Linked DNA regions of Struthio camelus. The protein of the gene in region 2 purifies or fractionates together with the protein of the main gene of each other region. This does not show direct contact. Links are inferred from orthologs where the notes say so. Each region holds a gene or a part of one and is shown on either strand. Other genes may lie near its edges. The genes, in order: RMND5A and SKI.

Region 1 (7,924 bases), on a different chromosome or scaffold from region 2:
AACGACTAACACCGCTCTCTATTTTTCTGAGAGAATGAATGAGGAGTAACAGAATTGAGACAGCCTCTTCAGTGAATTACCACTGATTTGATTCTATATAACCTGAATTAAAAAATAAAATTTCTCTAAACTATTAGAGAAATAGCACTAAAGGTGCTTCCTAAATTATTTCAAGAATAACCACTATCTCTTTGTTACTATTTTATTATGACAGACATTTAAAAATCACATAAATGATTGTAAAGAACTGTCTGGCCAGAAATTATGACTTCTGCCAAGACAAAATAACGAGAGATTACACAACAAAAAATCCAAACACTCATTCCACTAGTCTGTATTGCCCAATAAACAGAGATGTCCAAATAGATTCTCTTGGTAGTCATTTTTTGCTTGAAAAGCCATTAAGCCAAAATCCAGCGTATGTCCAGTCAAATCTAGGCAACTTAAATGCATAGGTATTTTTGGCAAACAAGTAAGTGGATTATTCTCCCCTAAAACTTGCTGTAGCAGAAACTAACTACAGCAAAACAATGAAAATGTCCACAAGAAAAGCTATCAGATTCCTAAGAGAAAAGATTTTCCCCTTGTACATATCTCTTTCAGCTTTACACTCAGAAGTTATTTGTAATAAATCAGCAGAAGAAAGCCTGTGAATAGTCTTTTTAGTAATTCAGTGTTCGCAGAATACTACAGAACAATTAGCTTCTCACTGCATTGTGCATCACAGTCATAATCTAAAAGAAAATACATTAGCAATCGGACGCTAGGCACAGAGTAGAGTTCAAAGCCAAGCTTAGTCAGCCAGACACATGTTTATACCATCCAAGAAGAATAAACAATATTGCCTTGACTACTCAGGGAGATTAAATATATTAGGGAAAGAGAGCAGAAAAACAAAGTTTCTCTTCCTAATCAGTCGCTTTAACATAGGAGTATTTTGCATTTAGACTTTGTTATAGAAACAACTCAAGAAATTTCAAGAGACTATGAGTGGGGAAAAGAAAATCAGTGTTTAGAGGATGAAGCAGCTTCTAACAGTTTCTTTTTCTCCACCCACTTCCTTTTCATATCCACTGCCTATTTAAAGGTCTTTACATACAACCTTGCTCTCACCTCTTGTCCTACAACATGATTTTCTTCTTCAGTAGTACGGTTTTTCTTTTTTTTTTTTTAATTATATACATAAGCATATTTTAGCACTTCTGACCCCTGAACTATGAAGCTTCACATTAAGAGGCCTGGCTGCTTCCACTTCTGCTCATTTTCTAAAATATTCAGGATATAGCATATAATAGCTGCAAATATCTGGTTTTATTAGAAAGTTTTAAATAACATGTTAAAGAAAAAATAAGAATTTTGCCATCCGTGAAGACAGCTTACCCTCAGATGGCAAAAGTTAATAGGGTCTCTAAATGGGCGTACACGTAACACATTAGTTTCATTGTAGAGTACTGACTAAAACAAAGCTCCAGTTGGCATGCATTCTCCTGGGATGGCATCACCACTGATTTCATAAGCACCGAAAACATGTCTGGGGCCTTCACGAAACAGTCCCCAAAACTGTTAACCCAAGTCTGCAGGGAAGACACAGGGAGCACCCCGGAGGGACTGCGCACTTTTCATTTTTTTATGGAGAGTGTAAGCTCTGGATCTGCAACAGGATTCTTGTGGGCAAATCTTTGCAGCACCACAGAGGCCTGTGAAGATCAGTGCAAGCATGAGGGCCACGCCACACATCCTTCCAGGCAAGGGCAGCACCTCGGTGTGTGAAGACACACATCCTATCGACTGTCCTTAATGCACAAACCTAAACTGTGTTGGATAGAAAAAATAGTAAAATCAAGTCAAATCAAATAATGCCCCAAAAAGATTAAGTGTTCCTTCATCCCCTCCCAAAACGCCTCAGAACTGGCACTCCACATTTACTGTTGGTGTAAATTGCTGGGTACACACAGCAGCTCTAATATATTTGTTGCTACGTTCCTGGAATTAAGTGCACTTCCAAGCAAGCTTCGCACCTGTATTTCTACAGGACTAAGACAAACACAGTTTTCTCCGAACTGAACAAAAGCAGATCGCAGAAACCGGTGAAGCGGCACAGTTTGCTGTCAGGTTTGGGCTTAGGAGCCCGGGAGTTCCAGTTTAAAATCCCCGAGCCGTGGCTCGCTTCCTACACAGCCTGGGGTAAACCGCTCGGGCTGCCTCCCCGTTCCCTCCCGCTCCGTCGAGAAACGCTGCGTTACCTCTGTCCGGGGCATTTGGCAAAGCTGAAGCGGCCCCGTGTTTAAAGCTCACGCCTCAGAGAGCTCACTCACCCGCCAGCACTAGCCGTAAAAAAAAAAAAAAAAACCAAAAAAAAACAAAAAAAAACCTGCACGGCCAAAACTTGGGAGGCTGCGCTTACGCTCAGCTCCAGAGCGGCTTCGCCCTGAGCGCTCCCCAAGCTAGCCACGACTAAAGCAAACAACGGAGCGGCTGCGGAAGTAACGACGAGGAAAACAAGGACAGCCAGCACAACGCTGCCATCCATCCGTCTGTCCGTCCATCCGTGCTGGCCCCGTCGCCGCTCAGCAGGAAGGGGCAGGAGATGCCTCAAGCAGCAAGGACAGGCAAGGCCCTGCTCCTGCTACAACTTCCCCCCACCACACACACACCCCAAAAGTGTCACCCTTAAAGATAAATAAATAGATAAAAGAAAGAAAGAGTGGGACACCGGGGGGGGGGGGGGCTGCTCAGGCCCCGCACAGCGGCCGGGACCCCCTCGGGGCCGCCGCACCAGGCCGCTCGCCGCCGGCCCGCGGTGAAGTTTCGCCGCTGGCGTTTCCCGGCCCGGTGAAGGGAGCGGGGGGGACGGGACGGGCCCGGTGCGGCGGGGGGACCGGGGAGGAGGCGGGGGGGGGGGGTCTGCACCTACTCTCGCTCTGCAGGATCTCGCGGCGCAGCCCGCCCGCGTACTGGATGAGCTCCTCCAGGCTGCGCTCGCAGAGCTGCCCGTAGCCCGAGAACTTCTGCAGCACCTTCTCCAGCTCCCGCTCCACCGTCACGCACTGGTCCATAGCGGCCGCCGCCGCCGCCGGGCCCCGCTCCTCCGCCGCCGCCGCCGCCGGGCACCGGGCCCCACTCCGCCGCCGCTGGTTCCCCCCCCCACTGCCCCCCGATCCTGCCCGGCCCTCGCCGCCCTCCGGCAGCACCGCCCGGCCCGCGGAAGGGCCCCGCTCGCCTCCCGCCGCGCTCGCAACTTCCCGCTCCTCTCCGGTGACGGCGGCGGCGGCGGCCGTCGCGCAGGCAGCGCCGCGGGCAGCCCGGGGGCCTCGGCGGCGCTCGGCGCAGGCAGAGCAACGGGCAGCCCGGGGGCCTCCCGGCGGGCCGCCAAGGGCGGGGCGGTGAGTGTTGGTCAGGCAACGCCGCGGACAGCCCCGGAAGGGCCTCGCCCCCCGCCGCGATGGGGGGAGTGAGTTGCCCCTCTCGAGCCGGCGGAGGCCTCAGCAGCGCGGGCCTCTAGGCTCCCCCCTTAGGCAGCCCGCGGGGCGGGCGCTGAGAATAACAGTCTAGGGCGAGGGGGGTCCTCAAAGTGCCGTGTTACGACTCAGGCAGTAAGGTAGGCAGCTAAGAGCGGGGTCCTGCGGGTGCCGTTGCCATGGTGACAGGCGCGGCCCGCGGGGCCCTGATGTGCGGCCCAGACCGGGCCGCACCGGCGGCTCCTCGGGCCGTGGCGGAGGGGGCCGAGGGGTCTCCTGCGCCGTGGGGCGCCGCCGGCTGGGGCTGGTCCCTTAGGTGTAACTTAGCCCCCGTGCTGAGGTGAAAATCGCCGGGCAGCAGCCCGTCGCGGCGGGAGCGGAGCTCCGCGGGGGCCGGGGGCAAGGCCCTTCCCCACCGCCCCCAGCCTTGCACTGCTACGTACCGCCGAGAGGCTTGGAGCGGGGTCAGTGCTTCATTAACAATCCTGGCGGGCCGGAAACGGAGGATTTAGGCTGTCATTAGGGCACTAGCTTGGCCAGCAAACTTCCTCTTGAGTGTTGAGTCTCGTGGGTTAAAGTCCTGCAGCCGACTGATGAGCGCGGTTGAAAGAGATGCATGCCCCTGTTTGCTTGAGTATCGCTTGGTTGGCGTACTTGTGGCAACTTCAGTGTTTGGAAAGTGTAGCACAAACCAGACCGTGGCCCCACGGTTTCTGTAGCGCAGTACATCAAAACCTCCTGCTCAACTAGACAAAACTACCTGCAAAAACAGCACTTGGTCTGAGCCTGGAGTGATGTTGTGTCGTCTGTGCCCGTGTAAAGTACTGCTGAAATAGGATAAGAAAATAGAGAAATCTGTATTCTCTTGCAAGAGCACGTGATTTGTGTAGATGCCTACAAGTGGCTGTCATTCTGTTGGATTCAGACCAAGACTGCTGCCCTTGTTTGTAGTCTTATTCTTTATGTAACCATATGTGATGTTTAAAGCCATGCAAATATCATCTTGGGTTTTATGTCATTAGCATGCTGGTTTGATTTGTTACGTTCTTCACCACTGTATTCTCCTTTGTCTTCTGTTAGCATAGGCAAGCAAGTTCACTTTTTTTTTTTTTGTCATTAAACAAAACCTATGTCTTTTGCAGGGAGCAGTAAATGGATTCTCACTGTTAGAAAAAAGAAAATATTACCTGCTTCAAAAAAAATGATCCTTTATTTCAAGATTTAATTAATCCATTTTGCTCCTGTATATTGGTTTGGCCTTGATACGTGTTCAGTTTCTGTGACATTGACTACTGCGTATTTGAAGGCAAGGGAACTTGCCACGGGACGGGGAAGAGTGACTCTCAGCTACAACTAATAAAATGCTTGACTAGATAAAGCTTTGAGCAACCTGGTCTGGTGACATAGCTGGCCCTGCTTTTTGAGCAGGCGGCTGGACTGCGTGACCTCCTGGCATCCCTTCCATCCTGAATTATTCTATGATTCATTACTAGATCATGTAAGGAGTGCCTCATTTAAATAGCTAGTGCTTTAGTTGAGCTGTCAAATCTTGGCCATCATGCTGCAAAATAACATCTACGTGTTAAATCTGTGTCCTTTTGGCCACTTGTAGATAATAGGAAACACCTTACAGTTTCTCCACATGTAATAAAATAGTGTTATTTGGCTGCTGCCATTTTGCTTTGAGACTCTCACACGCACTTACTGGCTGTTTTGAATAATATCAGTTAATGACAAGTAGGCAGGGTGTCATATAATGTATACAATTTGTGGCAATGCACCTATATTGTAGAAAAAGTACATCAAGGGATAGTATGTGAGTGAGCTCCTAACAATTACACTTACAGAGCAGGCTGACTCTTAGGAAAACTGGTTTCAGATAGTCTAAATGTTAGTTTGCTCAAATTTATCTTGTTGTATGTCAATATTAAAACCGTGCAAGAAGAGGGTATGATAGTATTTAACTTGGCAAGGGATTTAACTTGGTAAGGGACTGACTTACAATTTTCAGTTTCAATGTTATGGACTTCAAAATGACAGCCCTTCTTTCAGTGTTCCCTGTATAAGACTGAGTCTAGGAAGTGGATTATTGCCTGTATTTCCAGGCTGCGGAGTCAGCAACTGCCCGTCAGGAAGGATGGGGGAGGAGAGGGAATCCTTGCCATTTATCAAGGGGCAGCTGAGGCTTCAAATTTGGCCCTCTGACAAGAAAAGATGGTTGTCCCATTTCTCAGGATTTGGTCTCGTTCTCTGGTAAATCATAGTAAAATATTTTTGCTGCCAAGATTGTTTAAAAGCAAATCCCTGCTTCAGGTTTATGTTTAAGGGTAGGACTTACATACTTCATTCTCTTCACGTTTGTAAGACTGCTCTATGAGCATCGGACTGACTGTCTGATGGCTGTTTAATATCGTTAATTAGGTTGAGTTAACACTGGGGTCTTTAAAAATGTCAGCATCTTTCTTGTTTGCCTTCAGCCCAAATGAGTTTTCAATTCACTGTTCTCTGCATTTCCAGATAATTAAAATCCCTGAAAACGTGTTTGCAGCTGACACGTCAAAGACATTCGGAGTTCCAGCTAGAAACCAAGAAATGCCGGTTGCGTCTAGAACATCATGGCCAGTTCAGGTGGGGTCAGTTTAATAAGTCAGGGATGCGAAGGTGGGGAGAAAAAAGAGGATGAGAGAGTCTGGGAGAGGAGAATTGTTTTAGGAGGTCTTTCTCACTGTACTCAAATATGAGTCCGAGGAAGAAAATCCAAGCCTCTGTTAATATGTCAACATTTTCTGGTTTGTTTGAGCAGAGCCCTCAGTGCTGTGGGAAAGTCTCCTAGGCACCAGTGTTTTAGCACAGAGGCCCCAGGTCTGCTGCTCAGCTTTCCTAGCAATAATCCTTTTCTCTTCCAGGCTTTTGGTTAACTCACCTGCAGTGGCCAGTTCCTGGTCATACCAGTGCCCAGTATGCTTTCCATTTGCGGCTGTGCCCCTATTCATCATTGCTTTCTGTTGCCCCTTTGCCTCTGTGTTCATAGCTGCTTTGCTTTTGGTTGTTTGGGGGGCTTTTGAACAGTGGTTTGAAACATACTTTTTACTTTCTTGAAGTTACTCCAGGGTTTTGAGTTTTGGCAGATGATTAGCTTAGTATCTGCAGGGGACTCATCATCACTTACCACTGGGGAATGTTAGGAACTGATTTAACTCAGCCCATGAGCATTAGGAAATGACATATTGGTGACAGCCTCCCCAGCAGTTGGTGTTGCAAATAATTTTGCTGTGAGTGTAGACTATTAATTGTTGCTAGGTGCTTTCCAGCTGGAGGAAGCCAGACTATCACTAAGCACAGCACACAGCCTGAAGCAATAAGGGGAAGGAGGGGATACAACAAAGTGATTGGGTGGAGAAGGGTCTACAGCTTCTCGTGTTAAAAACAAAATGCTTTTTTTCTTTTTTAACTCAACACACAAAGTTTCTCTGCAAACATTTAACTCCGTATCTTCCTCCCACCCAGCACTCCACTTATTCTTGAGCTGCTCACTTGAAACAAAAAGTACAGAAATCAGGCAGCTTCTTGTGTGTGTCACAGAAGAAAGGGGTCTTCATGAAGCTTTTAGAAGAGAAGAAAAATGTGGTTTTCTTGGTGTGTTTTCAATACTTGAGAGCCTTCCTTTGGTCCTAGCGACAGGTGATGTTGAGTGTGCTTTTTATTGAAAGTACTTTGGCTCTTCGAACAGTAAGAACAAAACCGTTCTCAGTTTTGTTTTGGCCAAGGGGAAAGGATTAATCCTAGTGAGGTGGCCGCTTTCATATTAGGGAGATGGCCACTTACTCCGTTGAAGAGGGAGCTTATGCAGCTTTAATGTACTATGAAGGAGGAGGCAGCGCTTCAGCCCTGTCCTCCCACAAGCTCTTCCTGTCGACTGTTCCTCCAGTACGTTGTCCTCACGCTGCACTTCCCACAAGAGGCTCGCTTCAAATCAGAGTGAACTGATGAAATCAGTTTGCATTTAATTAAGCAGCATCAGCAGAGCTGGGTTTTGCAGTCCACCCTCTCCGCCTTTAATTTTTACTGCACCACATAAAAAAGGTATGGAGAATAAGGGTTGAGATAGCTCCTGATATGAGGCACAAAATTTACACGCCCCCAAGGGCTTGGTTGGTGGGCAGCTGCTTCTACAATCTCTCTCCTCTTCCACTTTCCAGAAAACAAACTGCACTGGGTCCGTTGCAGAAGAAAATAGCGTCCCGAATTTTCCTCTTGAAGAGGCAACGGCTGTGCACGAACGTGCAATACCAGGCAGGCTGAACCTGCATCCCACTCTGCCCAAATCTTAGGCTGGATAGGTTAGGGCACGGAAAGACAAAGGGAAAGGATAGAGTTCTTATTCCTCTTCTAGAACTGTTGACATTTTGCCTTTTTTTTTTTTTCCTTTTCTTTAAATCATACCACCCTATAAATGTGTTTAACAG
Region 2 (7,494 bases):
TGCTTCTCCTTGGGGCTAGTGTCATTGCTCTTCCACTCCAGACACTTAAAAACCCATGAAAAGTTTCCAAAATCTCCAACAGATGAGGCAAAATCAATACAACAAATCAGCAGTGTAAAACTCAGTAGGCAAGAGTTAATTCGACTTTTCTTATTTGCCTTTTACCCTTTGGGGAGGGGGGGAGAAAAGGGGTGGGAAGTCAACTGCTCATCCTGCAGCCAATTGCACCACTGCCAGCTAGCCAGACATCCTGGTGTCTGCAAGCAAATCCTCAAGGCCCTGTGGCACTCATCGCTGCCCATTGATCAGGACTGGTGCTAGATGCCAAGGCAGCCTCCCACCGACATACTAGACAAGGGATTCTGGGATCTAAAGGCAGCTCAGACTGAAGTGGGGGGGGGGGAAGTCACCTAAAATAAACGTGCTGTCTGGATAGGCAGACTGAATACTGCATGGCATACCTTAAAGAGGCTGCTGCAGCTGGCCCTAGACAGATTCATTTACTGAACATACACATAATCCAATATAGAAAAGCCAGTCTGGTGGTGAGATTCAGACTCCACTGAGATTCTCAGAAAGCACAGAAATCTCTGTTCACGTACCAGGTACTTAATCTGAATATTAATAGCCTGCATTATTGTCAGGATTTTTCTTAGCAGTCACATTTTATTACAATACATGCATTTAGACAATTTAGCCTTTGCCTCCACCCCTGGAGGTATGCAGTTGAGAAGGAAGCTGTATATATTTGTGTTTGGAGCAATCTGTTACTTTTTCTCTTGCATCCTCCTTGTCTTGACCCCTAATTCATGCCCTTAAATCCCGATGTTACATACTTCCTGCTAGAGTCTGGGGCAATGTGATGGGATTCAAAGATCAAGTTCCATGTACACTAAGATAAACAAATACATATAGATATGTAATTCAATTAAACTCTAACTACTGTATTCAGAACAGAAAAAAAAAAATCTAAATTCACAACCATTAAAAAGTGCCATCTCAAACTCTGCTCATCTACACTGAAAAACACGTGGTAAGAATTAACAGCATGGTTAGATTGCTAAGTGACTTCAAAATGAAAAGTACTTGGTAACACATGGGTATATCAATGGATGTCACCTAAATTATAGAAAATTCCCCTTTCTCTTTCTCCCTTCCTCAGTTAAAATAAGAATTAAAGACATCACTTACCCTGGGGGCTTTTCTCTTGTATTTGTTGTTATAGTCAAATTTTTCTTTCATTTCATCTAAGAGCTGGCCCAGCCGTGTTTTCTCCTCTTTCCCAGTGTAATCCTGGCTGAGGAGAATATAGGACCTCCAGTTTGCCGAGTCAAAGCCCCAGTGGCAAGTCCTATTTTCCAGGGATTTGTGAGAGTGGACCACAAATTTGTGAGGTGGGTACATAAGCCTGCAGTCCAAGCACTGAATGCAGGCTGCACTGGGGTTATTGTAAAGCTCTGGGACTAAGAGCCCCTTACACTTCCCAAAGCACTCATGATACACCTTGAAGCTCTTCTCTGTGAGCTCCAGCTCAATTGTGCTGGAAAACTCCTTCTTGCAGTGGGGAGGATAGGTGCCACCGTAAAGCAGGGCATTACAAAGCCTCTCAGCATCAGTTTTGGTAATGAGCCCGCAGGAGGGAGCAGAGAAGGGCAGGATGCCCATGACTTTGAGGATCTCCAGCTGGTCAGCGGTGCATCTGGAGCAGTAAATATGTAGCTCATCACACACTGAATTGATCTGCTGCAGGGAGAAGTCTCTGAGCACCGAGTTCAGGATCTGGGGCAAGCAAAGCCGCTTTTCTCCGCCCACCACAAAGCAAGAGATGGTTTCCCCTTCCAGGATGGTCTCGCACCTCTCTGTGGATCTGTCCGAGGGCATGAAGAAGGGGCCAGGCATCACCGGAGGAGGCTGGATAGGGGGCAGATGCAATACAGGTTCTGCTGGGTCTTTGCCATTGTCCTTCTTGTACATCTCCTGTGCCCATCGTGCTGAGAAAGCAGCAGGGCCACCCAGGGAGCTCATAGAGCTCAGATGAAACTGTTCCAAGGTCTTCTGCAGTCCTGGATGAGGCTGGAAGCTGCTTCTACTTACAGTCTCCATTTTTTAGTTTCTATTCCCAGAACAAACAACAAAACCCTCAATTATTTTCCACCCTGGTAAAAAAAAAAATCCACTTAAAGTTGTTGGTTTTTTTTTTTTTTAAGAAAAAAAGAATTATTATAAAAATAAAACAACCCACCCTCGTTTTTTCTCCTTCCCACTCAGGTTTAACAATCCACTAATGAACAGCAAATAAATCCTTTTTGTACGTATTTCTCTCCCTCTTCTTTTTCTCTCGCTTTGTTACACTTTCAAAACCTCCAAGTCTCCAAAGATGCCCCGATGGAGCAAAGAGTCACGCCAAAAGAGGTCTTCATCCGAACACTCACCCCCTCAACCAAGCCCCCGAGCAAACCAATCCCGCCCCCCACACCTCCGACACACATACAAGACACACACACACACGCACGCACCCACAAAAATACAAAAAGTCTATGCCACGCTCCGAGCACCAGGGGCTCAAATATGTTCTGGCGGCTGCTGCTTCTCTGCAATAATCTCCGTTCTGTCCATATCCACCAAAAGGAAGGAGCGGGGGAGGAAAGTAAAAAGCAGAAGGAGGAAGAAAGCTTCGTCTGTGGAGGGGAACAACGCAGAATAAAATTAAAAGGCCCAAATCCCTGGCAGTTCCAAAACGGCGAGGGGACTACAGAAGGACAGATAGGCAGGCTCCCTTTTCTCTCGTGGTCCCTTAGCTTGGTCTGGGAGGACTCTTCGTCTCTCGGTTTTCCTTTCTTCTTTCTCTCGGTCTTTTCAGCGTGCTGTGGGGAGCCGCGGTAACAGAGCGCTCATCCTCCCAGCTCCTCTTTCCAGCAGAGACTGAGAGTGCCTGAAAGCTGAGCTAATGCAGGCTGGCTCAGCCTCCCTCACTCCTCCCCCCCCTTTCTGTTTGTTGGTGTCTGCCTCAGTCATTGAATCACAGCCAAGAATGTGACCAACTCCCCAGGCTGGGCTCTTCCAGGAACAGCGGCCGCCTCCCCCCTCTCGCTCTTCTTAGAGCTTCTGCAAAGCAGGCGCACAGAAAGGCCCCGGGCGGCAGAGCCGGGGAGAGAGAGAATAAAGTGCTGGGTTCACAGACCAGCTCGCTGCGGTGGAGGGGCGGGAGGGCAAGGCTTTTTTTCTTCTTACAGTTTTATTCCTGAACAGTAGTAAAAAAAAGGAGCACACAAAAAAGTGTATGCCTCACACTCGCACACATACAAGTGCAAGTGCACCCCATAAAACCTGTACTTGCAAAACCTGCTTACAACATTGAGCATACACCCCTTTGTATTAGCAGAAATCACACACGTGCAAACACAATACACATGCCAGCTTTACAAACACAACTTATGATATGGAACAGTATATACATTGATAGCACAAATCACTCAGATGCAAAACATGACAAGTCATGCACCAAATTTACACAACACTTCATACACATGCATTCGATATTTTAAAAAACATTCATGGAATAAAGAGCAAAATACACAAATGCCATATGCCTAACACTCTACGCATCTAATGCAAACACGCAAACTCCATGCATGTTTGATATAAGGAAGGAATACAAGGCACAACCACAATACGGGTACAGAGAAAATAGATGAACTACCAAAACCCCCACTGAAATGGTAACGTGACTTCAGGCTCGAAAAAATACATTTGTTACAAATTTGAGCAAGTCAATATCCTTATTTCAACAAAATGTGATACAGAATATTTAAGGACCATGGCTAATAAGGACCTCTTTTTTTACCTCCCATTTGGCTGTACTCTGTGCAGACCCAGAGAGAAGAGCACCCTCTACTGAGCGATTTTGCACTTTTTTTCCAGAACTGAAGGCTTTTCTTGAAAGTTTCCTGTTCTGTTACTGATCCCTTTTTCAACCTTGAACAGTTTGGAGAAGTTAAAATGAATATATCAACATGCGTGCACATATCACCACTGCTCAGTTCTGCGAATTTTATTATTATTTCATTATTCTGAGCAGGAATTAAATGTTCTCTAGTCTCTATTAAAATTAATTTACAAAACAAAAAAGTTGACTTTCCCCTTTTTTCATGAGCTACATAACTGAAAGTCTGAACATTTTTTAACTAGCTCTAAGCACACACATAAGAAACAAATTTAAAAGGTTATTTCTGTGATCTTGGAATCTCTGTAAATTCACTGTGTGTGCAGACAAGGCTGGAGAATAGCTTCACAGAAATACAATTGTTGTTAAAAGTATTATCTGTAATGAAGTTGTCAGTCGAAGCAGTATTCATAGTTCAGAATCTTTCTACACTGAGGGATGCAGAAATTGAGCATTAGGATAGTCTCTTCTGAAAGTGCTTACCATTATAATATAAATTCAGAGAAAACAGATCAGGAAAAAAGAGGTAGAGCAAATAGATGTATTTCCATATACCACTTCAAAGAGCAAAGTAGAAAACAAGAAAAGGATGAGATTTAGTCAAAATCAAGCTGATATTTTATTTGAATTTTTATATTCTGAAATCACATTCAGAGTAAGGGAAAGAGGTGTCAAAGAGTTGTGAAAGAGCCTTGATCTTTCAAGTGAATCAGCATTTCTCATCAGGGAAGCCCTCTCTCACACATCCAATGGAAGTATCAAGCCTTCATGTATTAATAGGGAGTTCAGAGAAGGGAAGAACCAAACATGTTGATTCAAGTCATCAGTTGTATCTTCATGTACTGAGAGAAGATGCTTAGAGAACCTTTATCTACTGCTGGCATGAAGTATCCTTTGGATTTGTGTTCATATAGTGCATAGCACAATGGATTTAATGATCCATGAGTGGAATTCTTAGGTATTACCACCATACCAAAGTCTAAAGATGGGAACTGACAATCAAGACTATATTGTGCTAGTTACTGATTCCTAGTGCTAAAGAGGTTACCATGTTAACAGAAAGCAGGCCTAGGAGTATTCTGCACTGAGTAATAGGGTTATCTAAAAGCTTTAGTTAAGAATCATTTTCAATAGTGTTTTTTTGAACTGATTTATGTCACTTATTGATAATATGAAGCACATCCATGACATTCCGTTCATGCCATCTTTCCAGACCAAAACATGTGCTTTACTAGAAAAAAAAACTCTTCCTACTGTTCACCCTCATCTTAGAAAAGTTCTGAATATGACACAAGAGCAGTACTAGATACTTGATGAAGTCCACTAGGAATATGGGAATTTAACTGTTTTTCATAGAAGGTAACTCAGATACACTTGTAATGAGCAGTAGAATAATTCCCTAGACAGATTTAATTCAGTTTCAGCCATTTTTAACTCACTAGGATATAAATGTCCAGACGTACTCAACAGGGAGTATGGAGTTCCTGATCCTTTTAAAGGATGAAATTAATGCTTGGAAGGAATTTCGGTTAGTAACGTAAAGCTTCTTAGCTCTGGAAGATGTTTTTTGGCACTCCTCCTCCCTCATCCTTTAGAAATAACAGTAATAACTGCAGCTTATTTTAAGAGAGGTGCCATCTTCCCTTCCAAATGTGTCTTTTATGCAAGTAAATCACTGGAGCACACAACGGATTGTTTATGGTTGGAATTCATATATGGAATTCCTGAAGCAGAGGGGACTACCAAAAAACAGGAAGGATGGGCTTGTGGTTACGGCAGAAAACTCAGGACATCTGGAATTGATTCTCCCACAGACTTCCTGTTGCCTTGGGCAAGCTATTTAGTCTCTCTGTGCCTCAGTTTCTATATTTGCAATATTGAGATTGTGAATCAGGGGCAGCTTCTGAACCTAAATTCATGAAGTGACAGAAAACAATTTTTAGATTCTTGGAATAACAGTGCTAGAGATGGGCAGAGCATTAGAATCAAACAGCTCAACCTGCAGTTTTCTCCACATAGTTCTAGGCATCAAAAGACTGGCGTTTGCAACTCATACAATAACAATACATTAAAATTTCCATTTGTCTGTAACTTATAGGCTTTGTAGAATCAAATAGCCATAGGGCAGGAGAAAGAGGAGCAAAGAGCGCTCTCATTTGGGATTAAGGTGTCAGCGGTTTCTGAAGTCTCTGCCTCCCTTGATGATGGATTGTGCAGTGCAGTGTATTTTAAAATTACATTCATCTTTCCCCCAGTAACTGCTTGTCTTGCTCTAGTTCCACAGCCCTCTAGCTGGAGAAAGGAGAAGGAAAAAAATATCTCAGAGGAAGGGCCCTAACACCACAGTGTTTTTCTCATTTTCTCCCTCTTCTCCTCCCCCTCCCCACTGGCTTCAAGGCCAACAGCTTCTGGAACACAAACACTCTTGTAAACTTCTGAACCACACAGCCCTGTAGTGGGTGGGTGTTTGCTCCCGGCCTGCCAGTTCCAATCCACCCACAGATTCCAAAGGCCCCGAACAAAAAGCAGACTCCATTTTCCCTATTTAACGGACAATTCATTTCCCCCCCAACACCCACATCACCTTCTTTTGCAGAACTGTGAGCCTCTCACAACTATCATGTCCCACCTTTTACATCCTCCCAAAGTGGAGGGTGACATGTTTATGCATATTTTCATATATACATACAAAAAGTATATCCTAAAATGATTCACCCTAGCCCTGCTCTGGTTTAAGATGTCTGCTTAGACAGGAAGACCTGGGGATTATCAAGAACTGTGCTTCCTATTGAAGCTATTTGACAAAACATTGGGGAAAGGCTTATTGTGAAGAATGTGAAGAAAGACAAGTAAAAAATGAAATGTGCAAATGTGACACACATCAAAATCGCTGTTGCAGCTTAATTTAGATGGTAATTCATTATAGCAGTGAGCATCTAATTTCTTCATGTTTGCATTGTTCATATTCACTTCTAAACGTGACATTTAGGTATTAAAGCAAAATGATTTCTACACAAGTAGAATATACTATGACATTTCCTTCCCTCCTTTCTTTAAGGAACCTCTGCTAAAGTTTACCACTTTCATTGACTATTCCCCTTATAGTGACACTGGGAAATGACAAACTATCCAGAACCTGCAGAATAAAATTTCAAACTCTTGTTGAAAAAGACTTACCTAAGAGTCTGGCAATCTTTTTCAATTAAATATTTCATTTTTTCCATCAATATACAGTTACAGCTCACAGAATATTACTTCACAAATTTGTGTCAAATTCTTAGCTTTTTGGCTAAAACAAATGGTGAAACATTTATTTTTAAAGAAATCAAATGTTTAATATATTTATCTTAGAAATGTACTGAAATAAGCAAATTTTAAAATATCTAAAATGTTTCATAGATCAGTCATATTTAAGAAGACTTAAGATTTAGGAAACAAAAATTTCACTCAGTTTGAGAAGGTCAGCAATTGATTCATGTCAATGCAAGTCTTCTTTCTTTTTTTTTCTTTTTTTTTTTTTGTTAATGGAAAAATCAACTATTTGCACAACC

The links.
Region 1: the proteins of SKI (region 2) and RMND5A purify together in Homo sapiens (affinity purification with mass spectrometry; 3 studies listed by BioGRID and IntAct, counting the BioPlex papers as one, with this or other methods). This does not show direct contact. The link is inferred for Struthio camelus from reciprocal best matches to the Homo sapiens genes SKI and RMND5A.

The regions. Positions count from the first base shown.
Region 1 is NC_090945.1:80,788,692-80,796,615, reverse strand, and holds the start of RMND5A (E3 ubiquitin-protein transferase RMND5A), read right to left. Parts: upstream 3,197-7,924; 5' UTR 3,057-3,196; coding exon 2,915-3,056; exon of another isoform or gene 2,244-2,914; intron 1-2,243.
Region 2 is NC_090962.1:2,804,570-2,812,063, forward strand, and holds the start of SKI (ski oncogene), read right to left. Parts: upstream 3,026-7,494; 5' UTR 2,517-3,025; exon of another isoform or gene 2,114-2,516; 5' UTR 2,104-2,113; coding exon 1,192-2,103; intron 1-1,191. UniProt on the Homo sapiens protein: May play a role in terminal differentiation of skeletal muscle cells but not in the determination of cells to the myogenic lineage. Functions as a repressor of TGF-beta signaling.